Linked DNA regions of Oryza sativa Japonica Group. The protein of the gene in region 2 binds, or shares a complex with, the protein of the main gene of each other region. Links are inferred from orthologs where the notes say so. Each region holds a gene or a part of one and is shown on either strand. Other genes may lie near its edges.

Region 1 (3,754 bases), about 27 Mb from region 2:
TCAGATGAAAAGTTTCTGGATGGAAGTTTCCAAACGAAGGTTTTTTCAGATGAAAGTTTTCATTAAAAAATGTGTTGAAATCCCTATGTTTGGGCCTAATAATACAGCGACCAAGCGGCCCAACCTACGACCACCAGACTGCCTACGTGCCATTTTGGCCCACCCAACCCAAATATTGTAGTAGCTCTATCAAACTATATGACTATAAAGAACGTGCACCTTTAAACAAGATTACAAGACAAGTATCAGTTGCTCTAGACTCTGAACCCTTTGTTGTTTACATCATGCCCATTTAACCCCATAACATTAACACAAATAAATTTGTCAAAAAAAAAAAGGTGCAAGAAACTGACTTTACAGGTAGGATGGACAGTGGCAATGTGTAAAGACCAAGCCCCGTGATGTGACACTGCACCTTGGAGTTTCAGCAAAAATCTCTGCAAGTAAATCATTGCATGAATTCAGCTGCTAACACAATTGACGAAATGTATATGACAGCTTAAGAACGGAGCAAAAGGTAAGGAACAATGGAATGCCTTGCAGATGAGCTTACCTGGTGAAATCAGAATTCATCCAAAGCCCACCATCCACTAAAGATTCAATCAAGCAGCTTCAGGGCTTATTTCGCATATACGGTCAGCCTTACTTGAGCTGTGACTTCAGGGTGAAGCTTAATCTCTGCAATGTATTCCCCAATTTCACGAATTTCTGGCACTGTCACGAGACGCTTGTCGACATCCCTACATGAAATAGTTTCCGGTAAGCAAAGCAACAGCAGCAAATAGAGCATCGCAATCCTTCCTTAAAAGGTAGTGATTGTCAGTGCACTTAGAAGGGCATACCTATTAAGTTGTGACTTTATGATGTCAACAAGATCTTGTGCTGTGACGCTGTAGAATAGAAGAAAAACTTGTTATTAAGTGCAAGTAAAATAAGACGATACATAAAGAACTATCTACTCGATAAAAACTTGCCTCCCAAATATCTGTTTTCCTTTCCCACCTTTACGTGGCACTTTGAATGCCCCAATAGTTTCAAAAACACGGGCAAGTTGCTGTGCCTCTTCTTTTACCTACTCAAGCACAAATGCTCAACAGGGTAAGATTATGCTAACACTGGATGAAAGTTCTTATACTCTTATGGAAAATGATATTGGTAGGAACAAATCATGCTTTAGACTTTTTACAAAATAAGCTAAACCACAACTACGTACCCTGGAGAACAAGGATTAGTAGGGTATAACTACCACAGTAGTTTTTAGACAGACAGGAACAAATAGGAATAAGTTTCAACTATATCAATTCTTACTGAGTCCACAAATAGAATAATAGGTTTACTTACCCGCTTCTTTTCAGCATCTATCCTCTCCTGTTCTACTTGCATTTCCCTGTAGACAGCAGCAGAGGAAATTAAGTAGCTTACTAGCCATCCTTTTACAAGAACTAATTGAACATGTTGAACACCCCAGAAGAACTGAACTAGAAATGCAGAATAGGCATCTATAAAAGTTTGCAGATTTATATGTCAATCCTGGGCTCCACAAGGAGGCAAGAGATACAATGGCTAACACAACAGAATAAATAGCTGCAAATTTACACCTGCAGCATACTGTGAAAACCAACTACGATGAAACATAAGCATACGTCAATTAATTTACTAGGAGCACCTATCTGTTGGTTGAAACATAGCCTATACAATTCGTGAGATGTGGTAAATGACTGTAAGACAGAAGATTACTTGAGTACTTCTGGGGTGAGCAGCGTTGCCTTGCCCTTTGGCAGAAGGAAGTTGCGGTAGAACCCGGCCCTCACTTTAAGCGTGTCCCCTTTCTTCCCCACCTCTGCTATGTCATCTGTCAGTATGACCTGGGAGAAAAAGAAACTCAAGTGAAGTAAATCAAATACGGAATCGTGCATTACATGCTAAAGTATAGAAATGCATAATAGACAAGGAAGATGATGACATAGGCTTGGAACATTTTACAGTTTACAGGTGCAAATTTTGAACTGGGTGTATCTAGATGCCTTTTAGTTGCAACTTTCCCTACAAACAAACAGCATGGCCAAACCAACAATTCCGGCGTTCCGGGGCATATACAGAATCATATTAGAGATGACTTTTGCATCTGAGTTGCAATGCTAAGAGGCACCTAATTAAAAACATGACGATAGTTTCTTCCATTTCCATGTACTGCATCAGAGCATGCGTCCATGGCAATGTATCTTTTCCTATACTCAGATGTGTGAATGCACACAGTAATCTTAAGCTTACAGCTGCTGCATTTCGAATTTTTCGATCGATGGAATGCAGTCGCATGCGCTTTGTAATCTACTGTACTGATTAGTGGACAGGGTGGTGACAGACAGTACATTGGGTATGGCTAGTTCTAAAAGAGGCAAAACAAAAGCATCACCAGCAACAGCTTGTTCAATCAGTCAGTACTAGTACTGCTTAGCTCGAACGAATCGCAATTAAATACATACATACATACATGCTGCAACTGTGGAGAGAAAATACAAGTGGAAGCCAAACCTGGCGATACTTCTTGACCTTGCCCTGGGCGACGACGACCAGCGACGGGGAGCGGCGCGGCGGGAGGCGGGAGGAGGGGGCGGAGGAGGAGGCGGCGGAGCTCCAGGCGAGCGTGGAGGCCATGGCGTTGGGGATGGATTGCGGGGGAAGGGAAGGAACTGCGGCTGCTGCTCTCTTATCCACTTCCCCAACGGATTTGGTGCCCTCTCTCTTGGGCTTTGCGCTGCTTTGGGCCTTTCAAATCGGCCCAGTATCAAAGGTTTTCTTCGGGGTTGTCATGGGCTTGAAGATTAAGGGTCATTTTGGTTTGGCGCTCCTTCTTGCCTTACTAATTCTTTGATAACTTAAAGGTCAAAAATAAATTATTTGGTAACTTTGAATAGTTAACACGTAACTATTTGAATTAGAGTCAAATTTTGCTAAATCAATAAGGTGAAGCCAAATAGACAATAACAAAAATTTAGTAATACCAAAATTTACTCAAGATTTGGCATTGCCAATATTTTGGCATGGTTTCATACCAAACAAGTCGTAATAATAATCCACCAAATTGTAACCCCCTTCCACTCAACGTATAGAGAAAGGTAGGAGATATATATGTACGTGATACCTCGACGATATTACTAAGATAGATAGATAGTACATGTGATGCCAAGATGTTATAACATACATTAAGAGAAACACTCAGGGGTCTTCCGGCTAGCTCCACAAGGTGATAGCCTAAATGACCTGGATTCGTAACCTCACCCCTTCTAATTATTTGATATTAGGTCCTTCACTAATATTCATGTTATAACATAAATCGAGAAATATATTATTATAACACTATTTTGGTGCTATCTTGAAACTCAACGATACATCACTAGCTACCATTACGTATAAACGTGTATTAATAGTATAAGCAAATATCAACGAGTATCATCAAGTATCAATGTGCAAGAACGAGTATTAGCAAATACTCCGTATCTTCATGAATAATATCAAAGAGTATAATCAAGTATCATTGTTTAATTATCAACGAGTATCATCAAAATATCATCCTCGTATATCATACTCCAGTATCATCTTGTTGTACTTTTTCTGACAAAGATCTCCAGCTGGTGACCTGTTTCTCGAAAGGAACAAAAATTAAAAAAAAACCTAGCAAATCGTTCTTAAAAAGAATGGCGATTATATATCTTATTGAATTAGTATGTCTACTGCTCAACGAGATGAGAAAACC
Region 2 (3,754 bases):
AGAACTTCTCTTAGAACACTCGAATAAATCATGACCAGAACTGCATTGAACATAGTACTGTAACTGATCCCAAAATATTAGGACATAGCCCGTTCAATAAACTAAGCACCATTGGTACAGATGCCAAAAACAGTGAAATTAGCATCAGTAGTCACAAAAACTGTATAAAGTTACACAAACCAAAGCTAAAACATCCGTATCGTGGTAAAATGCTCTCTCTTTTTTTAAGCACAGTGAAAATAATACAGTTGGCTAGGATACACAATATCAGAATGAACAAAACAGATGGTGGAATAAACAAAGGATGGAACAACTGGATGACTGGCAGCACTCGAACACATGAACAAAGCAAATTTTGTTCAAAAACTGTTCTTCCAGACAAGAAAAGGTAGCACTCGTATTCTAATGTACTACCAGTTGTTTGTAACTACAGAACTTACAATTGCTCTTAAGCTGGAACATACTCAAGTATCGGGTCAGCAGGGAAGTCCTCGTATCCACTTATGCCGGTAATTCTTAACCTTGTGTTTGGCTGCAAAACAACAGAGATTTTTAATCTAAAAGAACTCTAATTGCTTCGCTGTAAAAACTGAATCAGTATTTATCAATAAAATTCTACCTTTCTTGAAGAAGGTAATTGGAAAAACTTACCTGTCTGTGACCAAGTTTCCTCTGGTACTTCTTCTTCTTCTTATATTTGAAGACTATCACTTTATCATCCCGTCCCTGATATAAAAATATTGGGGAGACATCAGGGTCAAGTAATTTTGAATATCCATGATTAACCCGACAACATACAGAGGACATACCTGTTCCTCAACCACTGCATGAACAGCAGCATTGGTCACCACTGGCATGCCAATGTAAGCCTTGTCTCTAGTTGATACCAGTAATACCTTGTTTAATATTATCTGCACATCAGCATTATCCAGAAGTGAGAATTTCTGGGAAAACAATACTAAAAATGCCAGCAACATAAGCCAACGTATGGGTCCTATGGGATTGGAAGCTTTGCATCAGAGGAGTAATTTTAGTTAGAAAAGGAACGAAGCTAATATATGCAGGCTACACAAAACTTATCGAAAAGTTCTGAATAAGATATTTATGTGAAATCAGGAACTGGGATTGAAGTGTTATAATTACAGGGAAGTGACTCTTTTACTTCTAAAATGAAGTAGGTCACTACCACTTTCCATAATTTCAGAATGTACAACCTTCCTCGTTGTTTTGAAGTTTGTTATTGCATCTCATGGATGAAAAAGAATAATAACCAAATAACCAATACTATATATTTGCCTTTTCCTAATTTACAATCACCTTATCTAGAAGCCACCTCAGCATCATATACCTTTTAAATTTATGGATTAATACAAACCAACTAACTAGCAAAAATAGGCCAAATTTCTAGTTAGGGTGTAACAAGTATCCTCCTGCATCCTCTAAAGTGGAAGCACCAGACCTGATCATTGACATTGGCGCCTTTCAGCCTCTGCGTGTATATATACCTTCCAGGCATCACAATGTACTGTCTCGACCCAATCTGCGACAGAAGAAAAATAATCAAAATAGCTCCCTCGTTATTATTCACAGCGCTCATACAAAACAAAACACAGAGAAACCCTCCTCAGATGCACTCCTGCATATTTCAGAAATGCATCCGAACAATTCTCTGTAAGACTAGTATTGTATCATTCGAAAACACTGTAATTCTCTGCGCCGTTTTCTTAATGGTGTGTCCTGTACATACTAATAATCGGCGTGCGCGCATTCCTATTGGCGCGTGAATCCTAAGCTTCTTATGCAGCATAGAGTAAGCAACACAAGCCTGAAATCAAATGCTCACTTCACCGCAAGAAGCAACGCAACTAGCGCCAAATGCCTGTGTAATGATATTATTTAAAGAATTCGAGGTAATGTAGCATGAACAAATGTGATTCTTTTTTTGTTTGTTTGCAGTGAGCCGAGCAGGACTAAATCTGAAATATTGGCGGCAAGGGCAAGCTAGCCCCACCATGACAACGGCGAAGATGTCGGCGTCCTTCCCGGCGCCCGCGGCTGCGATCTGCGCCTCCACAGGCTCCGGCACCGCAGCCTCCTCTTCTTCAACCTCCTCCTCCTCTACCACCTCCGCCTCGGCCTCGGCCTCCACGGGTGCGGGCGCCGGCTCCTCGGCGGAAGCGAGGAGCCGCCAGCAGCGGCGGGGCGCGGACGCGGCGACGGGGAGGGAGCATCGCGAGGCCGGGAGGGACGGGGCGGAGGGGAAGGCTAGGGTTTTGGAGGCGAGGAGGCGGAGGGGCAGCGTCGCGGTGGCCATGGCCGGCGCGCGGGGGGGAAGAGCAGTGTGGATGAGAGTGTGGGCTATCGTATCGGAAAGAAAGAAGAGGGATAATATTGTGGATAGGGAGGTTACCCTGAGCCGTTCGATTGGAGATCAACGGCTCAGATTAGATACCCATGAAAAACATGAAACTATGCCCTACTAGTTTTTTAGCGATACTGCACGTACTCATTTTGTTTCTCCTTTCTAAAGTTTAGAATCGTTTGATTTAATCAGTTAAAGATTATAAAAGAGTTGGATCGAATGTGTTGATTAGACCATAAAGAATATGCGAATTAACACGAGTGATGAGAACTCTCGTGAACTCTCGGACGAAAGAGCCAAACTGAACTACTACGCCTCCTCGACCCCTCTTCCTCACAGGCTCGGGTGACCTTGCCGCCGGCGAGGTGAGGGAGAGAAGTCCGACAAACTCTCTCTTTGTAGGTCAATCAATTTAGTTGGGTTTTTCTTTTAGTTTGAGCGTGAAGGTCGGCGATGTTGGCCTTCTAGTCCTAGGTTTCATGGAGAAGGCAATCGAAGTTTCTTCTCTAGTGGTATCCCTCTAAAACACCGGGTAATTCTCTATCACCGTGAGTTAGGAGAAAGCTAGACCTAGTTAAGGGAAGTTAGGCAAGTTATCTTTCTTTTCTCCAGCAGGCTTTTCGCAAGGATGATAGTTTTCTTCCTCTTTATTGGTGGCAAACCTTCAAGAAGCAGTTGAGTTTTGTTTGCTATATGCTTGGATTCCTCAACCTTAGGCTATGGAGGCCCTAATAAGGTAAGCTTCTTGGTGCTTTTTTATGCAACTTGCCATGAAATCTTTGTCTCTATCACCAATATCAACGATTAGGTTGTCGACCTTGATGGTTCTGCTCCAAGAACAATCTCATTTAGCTCTGGATGTACTCATCTATGGTATTGATGAACCTTTTCATGAATTGTCATGGCCTTAACCTCTATTGTTGTGAAACCCTATTTGGGAATGCGTCAAGGCAACATCTTCTGTAGCTCGCCGTGTCCATGTAGCACCCACTGCCATCAAGTATGTCACCAGTCACCACCAATGTGGGCATAAGACAGAGGAGGACCTGATTGTTGTTTTTTTTTTCAAATCTTGTTGAGTCCTCCTTTGCTTATATTTTGACCTAGCCATCTTAAAGAGACTATCTTCCGTACTCCCAGTTCTATCAACAATGAACATTGACATGTTCAGTAGTCACATTTCTATGGCATTGCTTCGACTGTGTAGCCGTAGCCAATGCAAGGTATAGCGCACTATTGCTTGGCCTGTTGCTATATGCTGCAGCCCATGCAAGCGCATCAAAGGCTATCAAACAACATTGATAAACTGTGAGACTGTTATCTAAGTTTGTCTTTAAAAACAAGAGTACAAAGGACAACCTTTTTATTATTTGCAATGATAAGTTTTCTAAA

Evidence for each region. The genes of interacting proteins can lie anywhere in the genome.
Region 1: large ribosomal subunit protein bL21c (region 2) and large ribosomal subunit protein bL9c share a complex: the UniProt entries of both Arabidopsis thaliana proteins name them as parts of the 50S ribosomal subunit. The link is inferred for Oryza sativa Japonica Group from reciprocal best matches to the Arabidopsis thaliana genes RPL21C and RPL9.

Annotation. Positions count from the first base shown.
Region 1 is NC_089036.1:35,818,985-35,822,738, forward strand, and holds large ribosomal subunit protein bL9c, read right to left. Parts: upstream 2,675-3,754; 5' UTR 2,656-2,674; coding exon 2,533-2,655; intron 1,866-2,532; coding exon 1,738-1,865; intron 1,388-1,737; coding exon 1,342-1,387; intron 1,073-1,341; coding exon 975-1,072; intron 891-974; coding exon 843-890; intron 741-842; coding exon 620-740; 3' UTR 554-619; intron 438-553; 3' UTR 200-437; downstream 1-199. UniProt on the Arabidopsis thaliana protein: Binds to the 23S rRNA.
Region 2 is NC_089036.1:9,031,155-9,034,908, forward strand, and holds large ribosomal subunit protein bL21c, read right to left. Parts: upstream 2,361-3,754; 5' UTR 2,315-2,360; coding exon 2,012-2,314; intron 1,541-2,011; coding exon 1,460-1,540; intron 912-1,459; coding exon 810-911; intron 727-809; coding exon 652-726; intron 533-651; coding exon 449-532; 3' UTR 203-448; downstream 1-202. UniProt on the Arabidopsis thaliana protein: This protein binds to 23S ribosomal RNA in the presence of protein L20.